Arabidopsis thaliana: one gene and its partners. The protein of the gene in region 1 interacts with the protein of each later gene in a pairwise test. Each region holds a gene or a part of one and is shown in the gene's direction. Other genes may lie near its edges.

Region 1 (5,119 bases):
AATATCGGTTGAACCTGATATATACAAGTTCTCTTTACCAACATCCTTAGAAGTATATTGTGATAGTTGCTTGATGCTTTTGATGTCCCTGTTGATTCTCCTACGTTCGTTTCTTCTTTCCTTGTTCTATCTCATCCTTTCGAATAGTGGTTCCTGCTTGTTCTTTAGGCTTTAGCCAGCCTATGGAAATGAGAATATTGAACCAACCAAACAATGTTGCCATAGTGCCATTGTATTGATGATGTCTATGACATTGAGTTATTGTTTTTGTTTGCACTCTGGTAGTAGCTTTATGTATTTGGTCACCTTAGATTGGTGACAACAATGGTGGTGTTTAGTTTAAGCTAGCTATCTTCTTTGAATAAAAAAAAATAAAAAAAAAATTATAAATTGGTATGAAAACAAAAATAAACATTAGATAAGAGGACTTGTATTTTGTGGGGGCTTTTGGTAACCACTATATAAATTTTGTTTTGTCTTTGTTTATAACTCTTTAATTGACAAGTTAGGTATAAAGTGTTTTGACGATTTTTTCCCCTCTACTTTCTTGTGTTCTGATAAACTTTATTACATGTCTTCATTCAAATCTTTGGTTCGCTCTGGCTTACCAATTTACACGTTTTGTTAAAGGAAGTTTGATCAGCTTCGGTTTAGGCCGTGTGATTAAGAATTTAAGATAAACCTTAACACTTATGAAAGTAATCAAGCACTATCCGGTAGTGAAAGTTAATATAACATATAGGATTATAGTTTGGCCAATATCATAACAACTAGGATATAATTTTATGAATGTACAATATGCAGGACAAAGTACTTTGTATCTTTTGATAGAGTTACATGCACTATAAGAGAATTAAACATATTAGAAAAAAGACTAGATTATGTAAAATGTCATAATCATATTACTATAAGACTAGCTAGACTGAGGTCAAATCAATGCATAAATTTAAATCATTATCTCTTTTGAATTCGATTATCTCCCTCACATTTTTCAAATTTCTCTACTCACTTTTTCTATAAAGCGGAAACAGTAATCGGCGGTTCATATGTAGTCGGCCATTACGGACCCATTTAATTAGATAAATTATTCTTAGCCGTCAGTTTCATATTTCGTCTCATTCTAATTTTGTAATGTTTCTCTAACCTTTTTGTAACTATAAAATCATACTCTAATAGCAAGAGGTCTAAAAGAGTAATGGATATTTCCCCTCAATAATGTGTTATATGTCACTGTCCCGTTTTAACATTTTGTACATATCAACAGAAAAAAGTTTTTATGATATATCCATTCCACTGATGTCAAAAAAGCAATAGCTTTAATAAAACCAAATTCAAAATTTCGTTTTTATTCTATTCTTCTGTTTTGATATCACAAAGATATTAAAAACATAGTACGAAGATTAGTTTTATATGTGTACTAATGAATCTTCTTTGTGGTTGCTTCATTATCACGTTTTAACATTTGTCACGCGTGCCCTGATTTCATTACAGCCTTTTCTACAAAACACATGCATTGTTCTTCTTCTTACATTACTACATTACACTACACAAAGAATTTCATATTAATTATAACAACATTTTTTTTTTTTTGCTATACTATATAGTTTTTTGTTATTCAATTGGTATTTTACCGGCAATGCTTCACTGGTTTCCGACTCAACGCATGTGGTGGTCAGTGGGCTTGGCCCACTTATCTCTTTCACCTTTTTTTTTCTTTATACGAAAAATTAAAGCAAAGCTATAGTAATAGTACTTATTATTATTACCACGTCATCACCCAACTCTCTTATACTACGCATATCACGCTAAGCTACGCGTCGACGGCGCAATATAGAAGAATATGTAATAATCGCGCCTTTAATCAGACTCCACTGAGACGTGTCGCTATTTCGAGTTGTCCACGTCACTGTTTCTTTTGTCTCTTATCTTCTTCTTCGTCTCTTTACTTTTTTCCCATTTCTAGGGTTTCTTCAATTTCACTCTCTCTCTTGAGTTTATTCTTCTCTGCTGTATCAATCAAATCAACGGAGTTTGAGTTTCTTTTCCGATTCCGGCGATGGGGTCAGTCCCCGATCCAGGCGAGTTAACTGAGTTAGCTCAGCCGAGTTTCGAGGAGTTTCAGAAACAGACGTCGTTGATGACTAGCTGTACTCTTCTATGGCAAGAGCTCTCCGATCACTTCACTTCTCTAGAGCAGAATCTGATGAAGAAATCTGAAGCGTTGAAGCAGATGATTGAAACTCTAGATAACCAGACTCAGACCTCGCTCGAGTCTCTGAAGCGTAGAGAGGTAACAATCGACCATAGCGTTGAGATCGTAGCTGGGAAAGTAGGTGAACGAGCTAGAGCTGCTCTTGAATCGTTAGAGAAAGCTAGAGATGGTTGTGGTGATGGTTCTAATGATGATTCCGGTGATGTTGACGATGAAGAAGGTCTTCTTTCTGCTTTGAAATCTCTTTGTCTTAAAATGGATGCGAGAGGTTTTTGGAACTTTGTGACGGCGAGGAAGAAGGAGTTGGAGAATCTCCGGTCAAAGATTCCGGCGGCGTTGGTTGATTGTGTAGATCCGGCGATGTTAGTGCTTGAAGCGATATCTGAGGTTTTTCCGGTGGATACAAGAGGAGATAAAGTTAGCAATGATTATGGATGGGCTTGTGTTGTGATTCTTGAGAGTTTAACACCTGTAATTGTTGATCCAGTGATTGGGAAATCGAGGTTGCTTGTTACTCCGAGTGTTAAGGAGAAAGCTAAGGAGATTGCTGAGACGTGGAAGAAGAGTTTGGAAGAGAGAGGAAGGATAGAGAATGTGAAGACTCCTGATGTTCATACGTTTTTGCAGCATCTTGTTACATTTGGAATTGTTAAAAGTGAAGATCTTGCTTTGTATAGAAAGCTTGTTGTTGGATCTGCGTGGCGTAAACAGATGCCTAAGCTTGCGGTTTCTGTTGGTTTGGGTGATCAAATGCCTGGTAATCCTCTTAAGCTCTTATCTTCTACCTATTAGTTTTTTATCCTGGCATGCTCATTGTAACTTGTGAGATCATATATGGTTTTGAAATTGGCTAGTTTACTAATAGTTTAACCCATCTAGATGTATAGTTTTGGTAGGTTACAAATAGTTTACGAGTTGATTAGTCGAATATTAAGTTTGTGTGGCAAACATTGTATGGCATAGATTGTGGTGAAGTCTGAGACATTAGTGGTACAAGGTGTTATTGACCACAGACTGTGTGAAGTTGAAGCCTTTTTCTCTGTATCTCGTTTTATAATATCTGAACTTACAAGTTGTTGCGCTGTCCACAGACATGATTGAAGAATTAATCAGCAGGGGACAACAGCTTGATGCTGTTCATTTTACTTATGAAGTTGGGCTTGTGGATAAGTTCCCTCCTGTTCCTTTGCTCAAAGCTTATCTAAGGGACGCAAAGAAGTCAGCAGCTTCTATCATGGAGGACTCTAGCAATACTGGCCGAGCTACGGTATCTACTCATTGCATCTACTCATTTCTATCGCAGCTAAATATTTTTATCTGTGCGTCCCTGAAAGTTAATATCTTCCTTGTTATGTTTTCTTCCTAAGCATCTCGTGGCGCGCAAGGAGCAATCAGCACTTAAGGCGGTTTTAAAATGCATAGAAGAGTACAAACTCGAGGAAGAGTTCCCTCCAGAGAACCTCAAGAAACGGTTGGATCAGCTAGAGAAGACCAAAACCGAGAAGAGAAAGCCAGCAGCTGTTCCTGCCAACAAAAGAACCCGAGCCAGCTACAACGGTCCAATGCCACCAGCCAAAGCCGGGCGTATCACAAACGCATACGTCTCTTCCTTCCCGTTCATCAGATCACCCTCTCACTCTCCTCAATACGCTTCACCAGCAGCTTACCCATCCCCACCTACAACAGTCTACAGCAACAGAAGCCCACCTTATCCATACTCTCCGGAGATCATCCCAGGCTCATACCAAGGCTCTCCTATCGGTTACCCAGCGTACAACGGTTATTGTAATGGTCCAGTTCCTGCTCCAGCTCCTCCAGTTTACCACCCACACCATCATCAACACCACCAATTCCACCATCAGCAACATTACTACTGAATTAGAAGACAGTGTGACAACAAAACAAGGAAGAAGATTGGTAATAACCAACAAATCACTGATACTGTGACAACTGCTACTACTCTGGTGTTCTCTCTCTCTGGGTCTATTGTCTTCCTACGTCGTCGTTTTTGTCTGTAATATCTCTTTCTCAGCCTAACTCTCTTAGTAACTTAGCTTATATCCTCTGGTGTGTTTATTATTAATCGCATATAAAACAAAACTCAAGCTTTTGTAATGTCTAATATTCAGTCAACAAACTTATATTTCTGTACTCTGTTAATCGAATGACAAACTTCTCTTCGTCACCAACTATCTCCGATCAAATCTAACATCGGAGGTCGTTGCTTTGAAGACATACCCACCAGTTCTCTGTTGAATTGCATTTCTTCTTCATTGAGCAAAGTGGTGATTCAATTTCGGTACAAGACACAAAGCCAGTGGTGAGAAATTTCTCTTTACCAACCTTGCACACCAGATGTTCGACGATATGTCTCTTTGAAATCTTACCGTTTAGTTTTCACGTGCGTTTTCAGAATTGGTCTCTTTTCCTTCAATGGCTTTGATGGTTTTGAGAAGAAAGTGTCTCCGTTTGCCAGATTTTATCTCCGTTTTTCGACCTGCACCGCGTTGCTTCTCCTCGAGATTTTCCAACAGTGAAAGTGGTAAAGTTACAGTGACTGGTTTGAGTGGTTGTGGTATAGAAACTGTGGATGATGATGTTTGGCATGTTTCATCATCTTTATCCCAAGCTTGGAGACAGTTCCAAGCAGACACTGCAAAAAACTCTCCCGTTACAATACAAGGAGTAAGAGAAACAATACTCGATGATGAAGATCCCGATCACGATGAAATCGATAACATGAGAATTCGCGGTGATCTTTTCTTCAAGCTCGATCGAGGTTCAAAAGAATTCGAGGAATACAACTATGACTTCCACCGCAAGAATCAACACAAGAACGCTAAAAAGGAGCAAAACCAAGAAGAAGAAACAAAGATAAAGAAGGATAACAAGAAGGAAGTTCGTGAC
Region 2 (5,202 bases), on another chromosome or scaffold:
GTTAACAATACTTGACGGATCGATGACGTGGATTGCTCCCAATTTAATTGAAAGATGTTGTTTTATTGAAAAACAAAACAAAAACAGCATTCGTCTTCCAATAATTTGCAAGTGTTGGGTCTTATTAGGCCTTAAAAGAGAAAATGAAACCTGGCCCAATAATAGTATCAATACTAACAGAGCTAGTATTGGGCCCTAAAAGTTTCCGTCTCCGTAAACCTGTTATTCTCGGAGAAACGTTGAGAGAGGGTTTTCCATTCTCTGTGGCCGTCACCGTCGCCGTGAAATAGCTCTCCTCTCTCTATCTCCGGTGAGTTCTTATTTATTCCTCTGCGAGATGTGCTTTTCTGTGTACACGATCTCTCACTTCTTCGGAAGCCTGAAATATTTTGTACGACTTTCATTAACCATTTACCATTTTGTTATCCAATCTCGATTTCTCTTTCTGATTGTTGTTGATGATCAGATTATATAACTGCAAGCTCAAAGGAATTGTTTGTTGTTAAAATGTTTCTTACGCGATTTGTCGGGAGGAGATTCTTGGCGGCTGCATCGGCGCGATCGGAGTCCACTACAGCAGCAGCAGCTGCCTCGACGATTCGGACGCCAACAAATCCACTCGAAGAGTTCTTTGAGTTCGACAGAAGCCAAGACGAAGATAAACCTGTTGTCTATGGTAGCTTCTCTCTGTTTTCTGCCACTCATCTGCTTAATACTAGTTTACTAGTGGGATTGTTCATAGAATGTACAGTGAAGAAGTAAAGTAATTCACTGTAGCTTAGGACTGTAGTCAAGCTTGCTAATCGTTCGTTTTTCTTCTTAACTTTGTTATCCTCCCATGGAGTTTTTGGAATTAGGATTGTTTAGTTTTGTTAATGGGGGAAAATTTGTAAACTTCTGGTGTTAGGTCGAGGTTGGAAAGCTTCAGAGCTGCGTCTCAAGTCATGGGATGATCTTCAGAAGCTGTGGTACGTTCTTCTCAAAGAGAAAAACATGTTGATGACTCAGCGTCAGATGCTTCAGGCTCAGAACATGCAGTTTCCTAACCCTGAACGCATTCCAAAGGTAATCGATACTAATTTGGCTTTGACTCTCTATCCAATTAAGTTGTTGACAAAATAATAGATACTACGAGAAGAAACATGAATCCTTTCTTCAAGGAATGGTTATGTTCTTTGTTACCGAGGGAGATTATGATTATTTTTTAATGAATGTCAACTTTGTTTGCCTCTCACAAATATAGGTGAGGAGATCAATGTGCCGCATTAAGCATGTGCTGACCGAGAGAGCGATTGAAGAACCAGATTCTAGAAGATCAGCCGAGATGAAGAGAATGGTAAATGGTATGTGATCCCATTGGCTCTTGTTTTGGCAACCTAGCAGTAAGCACGAGTCAATCCGCAGAGGTGTTGAGTTTTTCGGAGTAAGAAATAACGCATAGCTTTCAAGACTTTGGAACTGGTCCAATGATTGTGACTGTAGTAGTGTCGGCAGTAGAAAAACGTTTGGTTGGTATCTGTACGCACATTTCTGTAACTTATGGTTGATGTTTCTTTTTGAGACACATGTTGGTCAGTGTTGATTCAGAGCTTTGTCTTTCTCTTAAAACCAACATAAACGGTAATGGCAAGGCAACGACACTGATGAAGTAGATTTTGGCAGATGAAAGATTTGGTGGTTTAGTCGAGTCCTATATGGGCTATATGGAGGAGACTGAAGGAATCAGAACTCAGTGTTCGTTCTCAAACTCAACTGATTATTGTGACTAACGACACAGCAAAAATTAAAATAAAATCTGATTATTTGATTATAAAAGAAAAGAATCATATTGTCGAAACTGAATAACCAAAATGATTAAACCACCAAAACCATAGATTGCGCTAAATTATTTGCTTGCGTCTTGCGATAATTAAACTTAGCCACCCTTATTGGGCCCTAAAGCTAAATGGGGCCTGAAATATGTTAGAATCATGCGTCTCCTTAAAACCTTTTTTTTTTTGTTTTAATTGTCGGAAAATCAGTAGAGAGAGGCTTTCGATTAATTTTACTTTGTGGCCGCCGTGACCTTTTTCTTAGCGTCGCTCTCTGTCACCTTCAAGTTCACTATCTCCGGTGAGTGCTTTCTTCTTCGTGTCTTTTCCGCTTCTAGATTTGGTGTACCGACAACCACTGAGCTCAATTAATCGAGTCAAAACGGAGAGATAGTTGCTCTGTTGGGAATTCATCAATTTTGGTTAGCATTGGGTTATCGTGAATGTTTGTTTCTATGAATTAGTAAATTGGTAGACAGTATTTGTAGGAAAACGTAAGGATTGAAGATGAAACTTTTATTTAGCTACTCTTTGGCTGCTTACTTAGATATTCAAACGTTGTTGGACCAAACCATAATCTCTGTTCCAAAATCTCAACATGAATTAAATTCTTTTCGTTCTCAGTTACTATGGTTTAGTTTATCTGAGTATCTTAATGTGGTATTCAAATTCAAGGGTTAGTCTCTGAACTTTCATGTTTGTTTTCCTTTTTTCACAGACTTATCTTCTGTCAAGTACTGAACAAGAATCATGGAGGAGATCACCAAACCGGTCCTTGTTGGAATAGTTAAGAAGTGAGTTATTCTTACCCATCATGAAATTGTTCTCTGTTTTAGCCATAAAGAAAAAAAGAATACAGCTTGAATAATGAATCGTTGAATCACTTTAATTGTCACAACTCACAATCAAACGAAAATAATAACTTGTGTATTTAGATATGCCTCATGTTTTTACTGGTCTCGTTTTTGTTATTGTAACTGTCTCAGAGAAGCTCCACAGCTAGCATCCGTGTTGAGAGAAATGAAGAATGTTCTAGATGTGGTTAGGAGCAAAGTGGAAGCTCTGACTGCATTGGTACGTAATCTGATAACATATTTTTGTTGGATTCTACTTTATTAATATCTACTCGGTCTCGTCTATAACATGTCTAGTTTCAATTGGGTATAAGTAGAATTGACGACTTCGAGAACAAACTGTTTGCTTCTCCTTGAGGATTTTTAACCAAAGTATTGTATATAGCTGCATCTGCCGTTACCATTCAGAGACACAATGGGTCATTCATGACATCCTGACTTTCTTAATTTTACAAATCGTAGGTAAAAGCAAACAGTTTTCCGACAGCGGGTGGGATAAGTTATCTTGAGGCCAAGCATCTGTTACTTCTAAGTTATTGCCAGGATCTTGTATATTATATTCTAAGGAAAGCAAAAGGACTCTCTATTGATGGTCATCCTCTTGTAAGGAGCCTTGTAGAGATACGTATGTTTCTGGAAAAGGTTTGCATCTTTGTCTTTTTCCACTTTCTATATCGCCAACAAGTCATGGAGTCATAGTTTTAGCTTGTTTTTCTTTTGTGTAGATTCGTCCCATAGACAAAAAACTTCAGTACCAGATTCAGAAGCTCACCACAGCCGGTGGGCCTGTGACAGAGCTAGCTCATTCCGAGGGAAAGGGGTCGTGTGAAGCCCAAAAATCTGAAGATCTTTCAAATTATAAGCCTAAACCTGACTTACTTGCTGACAAAGAGGATGACCAAGAGGTGAAACCTTACTATCCTCCAACACTTGTGAAGAAATATGTTGCGTGTTATTTTTATTAACCTCTTTGCCTGTGTAAATGTAGGATGATGGTGTTTATCGACCCCCGAAATTTGCCCCTATGTCTATGGAAGATAAGACTTCAAAACAAGAAAGAGATGCTGCCAGAAAAGAGAAACACTTTTTTAGACAAGCCACTGAAAATACATACATGAAAGATGTGTTGGACGATCTGGAGGACAGGCCTGAAGAGGTGAGTTGGAAGGAAATTAATTTGCAGTTGATATGCGTGGTAGAGATTAATTTGATGTTGGAACTAAATGGGTGAATGAATATGAACAGATTAGAGACTATTATGGGGTTGAGAGCAATGAGCAGAAGAGGTTTATGGCACAGTATGAAAGGCAACAAAAGGCAGAAGAAGAGCTCTTTACCCGGGCACCTCGCACTAAAGAGGATAAGAAGAGAGAGAAGCGCTTGAAATCAAGCAGCGGGTACGTGTTTGCTTTGGTTGGAAACTGAAGTGTCTGATATGTAATTGGTCCTTATGTGATGATACACACTCATGTTCAACTGAATCAGGTTGCATGAACTAACCGAGAACTTTTACGATGATATCAAGTTCTTGGATAAGGATGGTGAAAAGCCAAGAAGCTTCGGCCGTAATAAAAGGGGAGGGCCATTCAAGAAAAGAAAGGTAACTTTTTTCTTATTCTACTATTTTTTTCTCAAATATTCTGCCTTTTTTTGTTTTTGTTTTTCAGTTTCTTTTGTGTTTGACAATGTATTGTTCAATTTTCGCAGACAAGGCACTGATATGGATACACCAGTGGTTCCTTTAGCTGCTTCAGTGCACCAATTTTGTTGCCATGAAAAAGATACAAATTTTCGATTTGCTTTTATGATTAAATGTTGAAAGTGGTGAATGTGAGAACTTGTTATCAGTTTTAGTATTGGTTCATGGTCATGCTCTTGCAGTAAAATTAGGAAGAGACCTTTTCTCTTTAGCTAAATTTAGCCTGTTACTACTGAAACTTCGTTATCATTTATAAAAAGAGATGTCACCAAATCTGATTGAAAACAAACAAACAAAACAAAGTAGTGTCGATCTATTTCTTTTCTATTCCCATTAGCGATGGGAAACAGTTCGAGCTCTAACACCAATCTCAGCAACCCTAAGAACATACTTCTAGAAGATCATCACCACCAAAGAAACCAAGCACAAAACCACAGCAACTCTGCTCGGACCTCTCACCTAAGCTTCTTAAGATCTCCTCTGCCATGGCTCTTCATCTTCCTCTTCTTCCTCCCTTTGCTTCTCATCTCTACAACCGGAGGAGGTGGCTCACGCAAGACCTGCCGTCCCTCTTCTTCTACCTACAGCCACCTGTCCCTAGTCGACAAAGCAAACTCATCTTCCTCTGTTGTTCCCGAGGAAGAAGACGACGATGTGCCTCCACGTGTCCCCGCTCTTTACCCGCAGCGACCAAGGATGTTCAACACGACGCTTGATCACATCGTTTTCGGGATTGCCGCGTCCTCTGTTCTGTGGGAGACGAGAAAAGAGTACATCAAATCATGGTGGCGACCTGGTAAAACTCGTGGCGTTGTCTGGATTGACAAGAGAGTCAGAA
Region 3 (5,954 bases), on another chromosome or scaffold:
CTAACATGGTCCCATGCCAACAAAAGACATTCGAGATTCAATTCATCAGCAAGGCCATGAAGCGATTAGGCTCATCGTTTCCGATATATTGAAAAATGTTACATTCCATTTATATACAACATGTTCAAAAAAATTCAGTAAGAAAATTGATAATTCACCAGCACCAATCCTTAGAGAGATAGCTTCTTAATCTCAACGACAAGATTCTCTTCAAACTATATCCCCTTTCATTTCAATTTTGACAGATGATTTCAGCTAAACTAACCAATCTCAAAAACTTCAAATCCTCATGTCAAATCGAAGATGAATGACTTCTTCTATGTGTACCTTTGTTCACTGAGGCAAAGGCAATGCAGCTTCGACTTCATTCCACAAGTCCACATTTCTGGTAAACTTCTCTTTAACTACCGCAATGAGCTCCTTTGCTTCATCGACCTTTGAACGACTTGCTAGTCCATTAACAAGCCACTTCATGACACTAAAACTCGGAACCCAATTCTTCTCCATACTCTCTCTACAAAGGATCAAAGCTGTCTCAAAGTCCCCTCCTTTACACAAACAATGTATCAAAGTGAAGTAACATTCACTATCAGGCTTGTATCCATTACACACCATAACCTCAAACAAATTCATAGCTTCATCCAAATTCTCCTCACTGCAAAACCCATGAATCAAAAGCGAATACGTCACAGAGTTTGGTCTCATCCTACAAGACATAACCCCATCAATCAACGCCTTTGCTTCTGCAGATTTCTTCCTTTTACACAAACATTGAATCATAATGTTGTATGTAGCTACACCAACATGAACACCAAATTCATCCATCATTCTCATCACTTTCCTCACTTCATCAAACTTCTCCTCCTTGTAAAAACCATCAATCATTAAACCAAAGCTAGCAGCTGTTGGCTTTATCCATTTCCTCTCCATCTCTGCAACAATGGAGTATGATGAACTCGTTGAACCTGATTCACACAAGACTCTAATCATTCTATTGTAAGTTTCGAGATCAGGTTCAATGCCATACATCTTCGGCATTTCGAGGTAGACACGATTCGCTTCTTTGTAATCCTTAGCCATTAAACAAGCGAAAAGAAGAGCATTTAGAGACTTCACCGTCCTTGGGATCTCGTATTGCTCGAGGTTGCGAAATGTTTGTATAGATCGATCAAGCATATTCGCTCTGCCGTATAGGATAATGGCACGGACTGCGAAACTCTCGGATTTTGGATCGGGTTGGTTTTGGATGAAACCGTCGAGAAGCTGCGATACAGCGACGAAGTGTTTCTCTCTCGCTAGTGTCACCACCGCAACGGAGAAGATGATACGGTCGACGTGATAATCAGGTGAGAGTGAAGTGGATCGGCAGATTTCGAGGATTCGATCAGGATTATTCTCGGATTTGAGAAGGGAGAGAGTATCTCGGCTCTTCTTCTGCTTGCTAGTGAGAGATTTTAGTGTGAAGATAGATGAAGAAGAAGACTTCAATCGGAATTGAGTCGCTTTCTGGAGTATAAATTCCGATGTTCGAATGCGGAAGAGGAACGCCATTACTAGGGTTCATGATTTCCCCGAAGAAATGGAGACGACGGCTGAGAGAGAAGAGGTTTAAACCGGTTTAGGGGTTTGACAAAATAAAATTTTTAATTTCAATGGTTTACTTAAATCATATACATAATTCATATCATCCGTTGATTTTATGACTAGTCAGCAACTTGGACGGTTCCGATTGAATCTAGGATATTTTTTAAAAAGTTAAATAAAAAGTTAAGGATCATGTTTAAACCGGGGGTTTGAACCCGACGTGAATCGAACACGCAACCTTCTGATCTGGAGTCAGACGCGCTACCATTGCGCCACGGATCCCTTGTGATTACAAGCACCAAAGGATATTTATATAGTAAAACACATATCGTTTTATTACAAACCGCCGCCTTCTCAAAGGGTTATCAACAATCTCTCATCTTTAGCATTGTTTTGTTATCTTCTTCTTCATCACAATTTTTCTACGGTCAGAGATTCAAAAGAGTTCTTTCTCTCTATCTTATTCTCCGATCATCATGATGCAGCAGCCACCACCCGGAGGTATCCTTCCACATCACGCTCCTCCTCCTTCTGCGCAACAACAGTACGGTTACCAACAACCTTACGGGATTGCTGGAGCTGCTCCACCACCACCACAGATGTGGAATCCTCAAGCGGCGGCGCCGCCATCAGTTCAGCCTACGACCGCTGACGAGATCCGGACTCTTTGGATCGGGGACTTACAGTATTGGATGGATGAGAATTTCCTCTACGGTTGCTTTGCTCATACCGGAGAGGTAATATTCTCAGATCTCTCTGTTTTCGCTTTATCGTTCGCGCTTAATTGTTTGTTCGAAGGAGATTAAGGTTAATTTGATAAGTACTTGTTAGTGTTAATTGTTTCCTCGCTTTTATATTTGAAAGATTTGATTTTGATGTGTAAAAAGATTAACTTTAGATGTTTGAATTTTTTTTAATATGTAATCTCTTTCCGACAATGAGTTAATGAGTGTTCTGTCTAGTTATATAATGACTAGTTGGTTTAACACTATCAGTATTTATTTTGCAGATGGTTTCTGCTAAAGTGATTCGTAACAAGCAAACCGGTCAAGTTGAAGGATACGGTTTCATTGAATTCGCATCTCATGCTGCTGCTGAAAGAGTTCTACAAACATTCAACAACGCTCCTATCCCGAGCTTTCCTGATCAGCTCTTTAGACTGAACTGGGCATCATTGAGTTCAGGAGATAAACGAGACGATTCACCGGACTACACGATATTTGTCGGTGATCTGGCTGCTGATGTTACGGATTATATCTTACTTGAGACGTTCAGAGCCTCTTATCCGTCAGTGAAGGGTGCAAAGGTTGTTATTGACAGAGTCACTGGACGTACAAAAGGATATGGGTTTGTTAGGTTTTCTGATGAAAGTGAACAGATCCGTGCTATGACGGAGATGAATGGCGTTCCTTGTTCTACTAGACCTATGAGAATTGGTCCCGCTGCTAGCAAGAAAGGTGTAACTGGTCAAAGAGGTAAAGTAAAGTATATGTCACATTAGAACTGATTTGATCTTGCATTCTCTTGATTTGTGTGTTGTAGTATCTATGTGATTAGGTTGCCTTAAGTAAGAACTAGTTAACTGCCTTGTGCTAAGTATGACTCCATTACTTTTTCTAAAGCCGCATCCTACATTTACCGCTGAGGCCGCAGTCAATTCTGTTAAAAAACTTAAAAAGATAGAAATCTTATAGAACACTTGTTGTATCCTGTTTGTTTCAAAGCAGGGGAGTCAAGAGGCTCTCTATCATCTTGAGGCCTGGAACTGATATTCAGCTGAAATGGTTATCTCCTTATTGAGTGCCCATGCTTAGGTCAGTTTTAAAGTTCATGTGTTGTCCTTTATTAGCCCTTTCCTTCGATTCAGCCCTACTTTAATTTCCATTTATCTTTTCTATACAAACCTTTATTCCAGTTCTTGGTCAGTTACTTACTTTTATAAGTCGATTCTTATGTAATTACTTTTCTATTTCATTCCGCTCTACTTAAAGTTCTTATCTTTCACTTGATTTACTTATATCTTTAGTACATCAAGCTCTTTTTTACTGTTTTTGTGAGTCTAGATGATAGAAGTTCTATCCTTAAGTTATGAGATTTGGTCAGATGTGACAGTTTCTGGAGTGGCCAGAGAAATAGTCTATACATTGTTTCTAATTTTTTCAGTATTGACCTTTATAATCCTCTATATTCCTCTCTATAGGCATTTCATTTAGTTTACCACCTTTATCTACCCTTGAGTAGTCAAAAACCTTGGGTGAAATGTGATGCAAATGTAATTGTTGCTCTCTACTTGCTCGTTTTCTTGCGGTTGCAGCTCCTCAGATCCTTTCTCAATGCTTGTTGATGGAATGATCCTATACGTATAGTTTATGATTGATGTTAACATCACTGATGCCTTCTTTGAATACTATTCTCCTTTTGGAGTTTGGGCGGTGTGTTGTATATGTGTGAATGCCTTCTTTGCATTTGCTTTCATTTTGATGTGAATATCTAGATGAGGCTGCAAAAGGCTCCCTCATAGTTTTCCAATCACTTTGTTGCATGTGTAATTTACAGTGACTTACTACTTCCATTATACCTGTGTTTTTTCGTGTAAATGCAGATTCATACCAGAGCTCTGCTGCAGGGGTAACAACTGATAATGATCCAAATAACACAACTGTGGGTCTTAAGCTCCTATTATATATTTGTCCCTCTCGGTTATCTTCCAAAGCGGTTATATCTGACGCATTTTAATTTACTGTACAGGTTTTTGTTGGTGGATTAGATGCATCTGTCACGGATGATCATCTGAAGAATGTCTTTAGCCAATATGGTGAGATTGTGCATGTGAAAATACCCGCTGGAAAGCGCTGTGGATTCGTTCAGTTTTCCGAGAAGTAAGTCTGCTGCTACTACTGGAAGCTCTGTCTTTCATTTAACCCTAAAATAGTCTTTGGAATAGAATTCTAATAGTTTTTTTTATCATGTGTTTTGTGACCAACCCTCACTTTTCAGGAGCTGTGCAGAGGAAGCTCTTAGAATGCTGAATGGAGTGCAATTAGGCGGAACAACCGTCAGGCTCTCATGGGGCCGAAGTCCTTCGAACAAACAGGTAATTGATAATCTTTACATTGACATTAGATGATAGAAAGAAACAGCTCACAGTGTATCGCCTTTTGTCTAAGAACTATCGCAGCTTCTCTCACCGTGTATCGGCTTTTGTTCTAAGAACTATGTAGTCCAGGCTATTGTTTTAGATGATAGCAGAATCGCTTAAAATAGTTGAGTTCAAGTAGCTTTTTATAATCTGAAATGCTTTTTTGATATTGGTTTCCAGTCGGGGGATCCGAGCCAGTTTTACTACGGTGGGTATGGACAAGGACAGGAGCAGTATGGGTACACGATGCCTCAAGACCCTAATGCATATTACGGAGGCTACTCTGGTGGAGGATACAGCGGTGGTTACCAGCAGACACCACAGGCAGGACAGCAACCACCACAACAGCCACCACAGCAGCAACAAGTCGGGTTTAGCTACTAACCCCGAGAGTATTGCTTGAGTTAATGTCACTCTGCTTGTTGTTTGCGTACTTTGTTATGAACTTGTTTCTGCGTGCCTTGTTATGAATATTTTCCCAAACACAGTTTATTTGTCTTTGCTTTTCTCTAGGTGTGTGTTGAGTTTTTAACTCTTAATAATGTTTCTGCGATGCTTCTGTTTTTAATGTTTTCATCACCTTTTGAAAGAACGTAAGCGTTGATTATATTTTAGGGTTATGTGTTTATTTTTGAATGTTAAAAGAGTGGTCGATGAATGATAATCACCAGAGATCTTGAGCACAACTAGGCTCCAGCTTTAGAACAGTTGGAGTCTTTAGAGGTCTATGTAGAGGCAGTGTGGTATACGTCTCTCAAATCTCAAGTTGAACATTTTACATACTATGAATCTTGGAGTCATGTATGTATGGACTCATATCAACAGCTCCAAGCTTTGAAAAATATATTTAAAATAATTGTCTTGACCCGTTGTCCTAACCAAAGGACACATAATAAGGAGAATCTTGATTAATTTAGTAGATCTTGCAAATCGTTGTCTTATATCTGAGACCAAAAATTGTTGGCTCCGAAACAATATTATTATTTTCTCAAGTTCATAACGTTATAGACTTATAGCTTTTTCATAACCGAGGAAATTAGAATTCTTTCATTACAATAAAAAGAAAAGTCAGCGATTTTTCCCCTGCTAGATCAGTAATATTCCTAAATTATGTCCATTAATTGAAATCATTATTCATTAATTATAAGAAATCTATCAAAAAATTAAGAACTCAACAAAACTATTGATTAATGGTTTTTCCGACATGGACACAAAGGTTAAAACCAAATTC
Region 4 (5,223 bases), on another chromosome or scaffold:
CTTCTAGATTGATGTCTCCATCAGACGCTATATCACCATCGTCTTCTCTATTCTCCTCTCCATCAGATTCTCTGTCTCCATCTATCCCGACGTCGTCTCCCTCAACTCCGGTGGCTTCGTCCTCCTCGACTCCGCTATCACCACTATCACTTCCATCGTCGGCTTCAATGTCACTCTCTGGAGGTTCGAAATCGGGGTCATCTGGATCGATTTGGTAAATCAATCCTTCCTCCCACCAATTCTTCATTTCTCCCTATTCGAAACCCAAATCGAGACCCAGAAATTCGAATCGAAGAAGAAAACCCCAAATCTCCTTTTGTCTTTCTCTCTCAAGAACCCTAATTTCACAGTGTCGAGATTAAAGAAGAACGACCAAATCGATTTGAGAGTTAAAGAAGAATGAAAACGACATCGTTTTCTTTCTCTTTTTGATGAGTTAAACGAAATGAAAACGACGTCGTTTTCTTAACGGGTCTGGGTATTAGTCGGGTTAATCGCAATCGCGGTACAGTAAACGCAGATTTGTGGTTAATCCCGGTTAAATGAATGGTTCAATTGGAAATGTATGTTTAAGCATGAATTCGAAAGTAGATAATGTAATTTTGAGGAATATGAAAGTTGATGGTGGAAATTTAAGGGCCCAAAAGTCCGGGGTGAAAGCTGAGAATCGAAATAATTTATGGCTCAAAAATCAGTCATACTAACATTGTAATACAAAACATGATTTTGTAAGATTGATCTAGTTTTAGAAAAATCACTTTTGGCTGAAGATAATAGGACCGACTTTTTCTTGTTGTAGTTGTGAGATCTCATAAAGAAGAATTATAGACTTAAGTGTTATATTAACCAATTTTTAATTTAATTCTTCATATACATTATCTATCTTATTAAGTTTGGCTGGAAAAATCTGTAAGTCAGTAAATGTTTACTTCAAAATGTAGAATTCATAATTTTGTATTTAGAATAGTAGAATTTATCTCCAAATTAGTAAACTAGATTTTAGATTGTCATGAAAAGTGATACAAACCAATAATTTTTTTGTAAACTAAGATAGTGGAAAAATCTGTAAGTCAGTAAATTTTTTTGTAAACGAAGACCAATAATTCTTCATAATTTTTTTTAACGAATAGAAAATTAATAAGCGTTATAGTTAAAAACAGGAAGGAATAATGATATTAAAAAAAAAACTATTTGTAAACTAAGATTACCTTTTTCGTAACATTTTGCTCATTTTTTTTTGTAAATGAATGTAAATCGGCATAATTTTAATCACTAAAATTCTGAAATATTTTGCTAACTATCAATCAATTTTAGATTTGATTTGATTTACATATAAATATGTAGGCTAACACATTAAATCATGTTCTAAGAAATATGCATATGCATGAATCATTTGATGTCTTACAAATAAGTTACACAACTTGTGTGCAATCATAATATGGATTCTTATGAAGATAATAAAAAATTAAAAGGTTGGTATATTAATTTTTTTGACCAACTTTTGTGAAAATGTTAAAATGCTAAATATATTCAGTAGTTCAACTTATTTTGAGGGATATGTAAACTAAAAAAAAAAAAAAACTCTTTTGAGCTATAATTTAATATTGGTCAAAAAAAAATGTATTTTTTTATATATAGTATATCTCTGTTAGTTATATTTTTTTTTTTTTGTGTATGTTATTTCTCGGTTAGTTATTTGCTAAGGGAAAGTTTTTTTTGTTGAATATCTTTTTTTGGTAGAATTAAAAATACAGAAAATTTCAATTTTAAGATTTTCCACCAATATAAAAGACCAAAAATTAAATAATAGCTAAAATAAATGTTTTCCAACTGTAAATCTATTTTACAGAGTGGATCCGACCAACAAGAAAAAAGTGTACAAAAACACACAGTGACCGTACATAAAATAAAAAAAATGTCATTGATATTTGTGAAAAGCTAAGTTAAATAATTCAATGAGTGTGTCCCCAAATTCTCTCTTTTTTCCCTGAGACTTTTCCTTGAATCCTCTTCCCTCCTCCTTCTTCTCTCTCTCTCGTTTCTCAACTACCGTCTCTCTGCTTCTTCTGTTCCCAAAACCGGAAACTTTACTTCGTGGAATTTTCCCTTGTTTCTGAAATGGAAGACACAACATTTACCAAAGTGTTCGTTGGAGGATTAGCTTGGGAAACACACAAAGTCTCTCTCAGGAATTACTTTGAACAGTTTGGTGACATTGTTGAAGCTGTCGTTATCACTGATAAATCTAGTGGTAGATCTAAAGGCTATGGCTTTGTAAGTTTCTTCTTCTTCTTGTTTCTTTTTACTTTGGAGATTTGTTATAGCTTCAAGCTCACGGGTTCTGTTTTTTTTTTGTAAAGGTTACTTTTTGTGATCCGGAAGCAGCTCAGAAAGCTTGTGTAGATCCAGCTCCTGTTATTGATGGAAGAAGAGCTAATTGTAATCTTGCTGCTTTTGGTGTTCAGAGATCCAAACCTTCTTCTCCTATTCATGGTACTTTTAGGTTTCTGTCTTTTGATACTTTACTTTTGAAAACCCTACATCAAGAGTATATGTAAATCCATGGATCTTGCTGGAATTGTATGTCTTGAATCACATGTCTCACATATTAGTAGCAAAGTTAGATACTTTATGAATTGTCTTACTTTATTGTTTGAGGTATAGCTTCATCTTGATTCCTTAGTTGATTCAGTAAAGCCATTTTCTTGCTCACTAGTCTTTATAATTCTTCTGCAGACTACACTAGTTAGTTAAATCTTCTGGTTAAATATGTTGTGTTTTGTTCTTGTCTGAAAGCAAATGTTTGAGAGGAGATTCTCATGTTGTTGTGTTATGGCAGGACATGTAGGAGGAAGAGGCATGAAGGTGACTAGCCCTTTCAAGACACACTTTGGGACCGCGGCTACTGCTATTCCTTCCCCACTTCCATTCTCCCACTACACACTTCCTTACACTAATCCTTTTGGGTACTCCACGTTTAATCTCTTACTTGATTTTTCTATACTCATCACTCTACTTAGACTGATAAATCCTCTGTTTGGTTTCATTAAACTTTCTTAGGTTCTCTTCATACTCAATGGATTACAATTACCCCACGGTATGTATATTGTAAGAGTCTCTCCCTACTCTACTCTTATCTCTTATAGCTTATTGGATTATTGTTTTTACAGCAGAGCTATTACAATGTTTATGGAGGGGCAACTGCTCAGCATCCAATGTATGGAAGCGGACCAATGACTGGTGTAGCAGCAGCACCAGCAGCAGGGTTCTACCCATATCTCCAGTTTGCTGAAGGAAATGGACCTGTCACTGGTTATGCTCCCCTCCACTACCCCAACCACATGTTTCACTATTCTGCTCCCGGGGGAAACTACCCGCATCACAATGGTTCACCAGTGTCTCTTGCACCTTCACCAGTCATACCATCAGGTTAGTTTCTTTATATTTTTTCGTTGTTCATACACAACATGGAAAACTAGAGGTACTGATGTTCTCCAGCAGTTTGCTTTGCAGTTCCACAGGCTTGACCATGAAGGCTCGTGGTTCATAGTTCCATGATGCTATGTAGGGGACCAATTCATTTAAATCCTTAAGGCAAAGCTTTGTTTACTACTTTCATCCACATGCCTCTGAAGTTTCACAAGACCTGTGGCCTAACCATGGTTGCCCTTTTCCCTTTATGCTTCTAACCCATTAGACAAAGAAGCCCATAATTTGGAGTTTGGGCGTCTTTGCAAGTTCTAGTTAAGTCTCACATAGGGGTTTAACTAGGACCATCTTCATACACATTACTCATCTTTTCATTTTATTCATTGCATTACCTGCTTTCTGAACGAAGGTTTCGTTCAAGATAGCTTGTTCGAGCTGTAGAAGTAAACAGTTACCGTCTTTTGCACAGTGCCTCGCAAAGGCAAGCAATTTTGTAGAAAAACTTAAAAACTTAGGATTGGCTGATCAACAAGAAAGGAAATAAGGATTTCCCGGGAAAGGCACAAGAAGTGAATTGCCACCACCTGGAAGTGTTGAAGTAGTGTGTGCAAAGGTGTGCACACTACTTCACGCTATATCCATTTTAATGTGCAGTCTTAGGATTATTAGATCTAGGACCATGTTGTTACACATTGTCTTGTAGTAGAACGCTAGAACATAAACTTCCTTTGAGGATAAAGGAATTGCTAACACATGTATATTCTCGGTGGCTAAGCTTTGGAGTTATAGCCACACTTGAGCTAACTTAGATTAAGATCATTTTTAAGATTCAAAATTTAGATTGCTCATCATATCTTGAACCAACCCCACTAATGGATTGTGGGGTTCTTGCATTTGCATGTATTTTTGCCTCTTGGGAGATATTTTGGTTCCCTTTAGGTTCTTCTCATAACAATCAACCAAACCAGTTGACCAACCATGGTTAGGAATTTCAGGTGAGAGGTATTCATCACCTCTTTATCTCTCTTTTGTACTTCTTTCCTCTATTTCTTCAAGACTAAAAACTCTCTTTTTATGTAATTTGTTGTTATATCTTGTAAGCTGTGTGTTTCTGATTCTATGTAAGAAAACTAAAAGCTTTCAGTTTCCATCCTCGGTGGTTGGAAAATGAAACTGTGATTGCAATATTTTACTTTGATCTGATATATAATCCTCTTGTATGAGGTTATGACAATGTCTCCTACTATATGAATCCCTACTTTCATTATCTTGATGCCAAGAGGCCTTACTACAATCATTCAGCAACAGACTGGTTTTTATGTACAACTATAAGAACAAAATCATCATATTATACACAAACCAACGTAGGAACTTGAGACCTATACCTAATATACAATCAACAATGCTGCAGAATATTTCAAACTGCAATCTCTACAACATAACTGCAGAAGAGGAAAATGCATATGGAAGAATAAATAGATCAAGAACGTGTACACTCAATGCCATGACAAATAGCCAACCAAACACCAAGCAGCGTTAAGCAAATAGCTATATCAATGGCAAGAACAATCTTCACTTGACGCCGCCACTTCCTCTCAATGCTCTGAGAGCCACCAGATCGTCCCCTTCTTGGAACATACGTTGCTGATTCAGATGAAGCATTAGAACATTCTGTTACGTTTCCTCTATCATTTGATTTTCGGTGTTCCTCTATCTCAATACCTCTTAGTGAGTGCGCATGATCTCTCCCTTTCTTCTTATCTTGCTTGTTGGATCTTCCTAAAAGAGGAGCTT

Evidence for each region.
Region 2: the proteins of AT3G22440 (region 1) and AT1G07840 interact in a two-hybrid assay, tested with the Arabidopsis thaliana proteins (one large-scale study listed by BioGRID).
Region 3: the proteins of AT3G22440 (region 1) and RBP45B interact in a two-hybrid assay, tested with the Arabidopsis thaliana proteins (one large-scale study listed by BioGRID).
Region 4: the proteins of AT3G22440 (region 1) and AT1G33470 interact in a two-hybrid assay, tested with the Arabidopsis thaliana proteins (one large-scale study listed by BioGRID).

The regions. Positions count from the first base shown.
Region 1 is NC_003074.8:7,957,798-7,962,916, forward strand, and holds AT3G22440 (FRIGIDA-like protein), read left to right. Parts: upstream 1-1,955; 5' UTR 1,956-2,056; coding exon 2,057-2,969; intron 2,970-3,303; coding exon 3,304-3,479; intron 3,480-3,579; coding exon 3,580-4,089; 3' UTR 4,090-4,574; downstream 4,575-5,119. Other genes in the region: AT3G22436 (uncharacterized protein), read right to left, coding at 101-223; AT3G22450 (Ribosomal L18p/L5e family protein), read left to right, coding at 4,646-5,119.
Region 2 is NC_003070.9:2,422,042-2,427,243, forward strand, and holds AT1G07840 (Sas10/Utp3/C1D family), read left to right. Parts: upstream 1-2,003; 5' UTR 2,004-2,112; exon of another isoform or gene 2,113-2,233; intron 2,234-2,529; 5' UTR 2,530-2,561; coding exon 2,562-2,605; intron 2,606-2,797; coding exon 2,798-2,885; intron 2,886-3,127; coding exon 3,128-3,307; intron 3,308-3,390; coding exon 3,391-3,570; intron 3,571-3,653; coding exon 3,654-3,821; intron 3,822-3,910; coding exon 3,911-4,062; coding exon of another isoform or gene 4,063-4,090; exon of another isoform or gene 4,091-4,150; coding exon 4,151-4,265; intron 4,266-4,372; coding exon 4,373-4,384; 3' UTR 4,385-4,687; downstream 4,688-5,202. Other genes in the region: AT1G07830 (ribosomal protein L29 family protein), read left to right, coding at 508-676, 908-1,065, 1,244-1,351; AT1G07850 (transferring glycosyl group transferase (DUF604)), read left to right, coding at 4,704-5,202.
Region 3 is NC_003070.9:3,912,835-3,918,788, forward strand, and holds RBP45B (RNA-binding (RRM/RBD/RNP motifs) family protein), read left to right. Parts: upstream 1-1,939; 5' UTR 1,940-2,060; coding exon 2,061-2,321; intron 2,322-2,593; coding exon 2,594-3,059; intron 3,060-4,186; coding exon 4,187-4,245; intron 4,246-4,332; coding exon 4,333-4,463; coding exon of another isoform or gene 4,464-4,467; intron 4,468-4,581; coding exon 4,582-4,678; intron 4,679-4,903; coding exon 4,904-5,107; 3' UTR 5,108-5,409; downstream 5,410-5,954. Other genes in the region: AT1G11630 (Tetratricopeptide repeat (TPR)-like superfamily protein), read right to left, coding at 334-1,551. UniProt on the Arabidopsis thaliana protein: Heterogeneous nuclear ribonucleoprotein (hnRNP)-protein binding the poly(A) tail of mRNA and probably involved in some steps of pre-mRNA maturation.
Region 4 is NC_003070.9:12,142,514-12,147,736, forward strand, and holds AT1G33470 (RNA-binding (RRM/RBD/RNP motifs) family protein), read left to right. Parts: upstream 1-1,926; 5' UTR 1,927-2,118; coding exon 2,119-2,274; intron 2,275-2,360; coding exon 2,361-2,493; intron 2,494-2,839; coding exon 2,840-2,966; intron 2,967-3,060; coding exon 3,061-3,097; intron 3,098-3,170; coding exon 3,171-3,429; intron 3,430-3,501; coding exon 3,502-3,527; 3' UTR 3,528-4,695; downstream 4,696-5,223. Other genes in the region: AT1G33475 (SNARE-like superfamily protein), read right to left, coding at 4,910-5,223.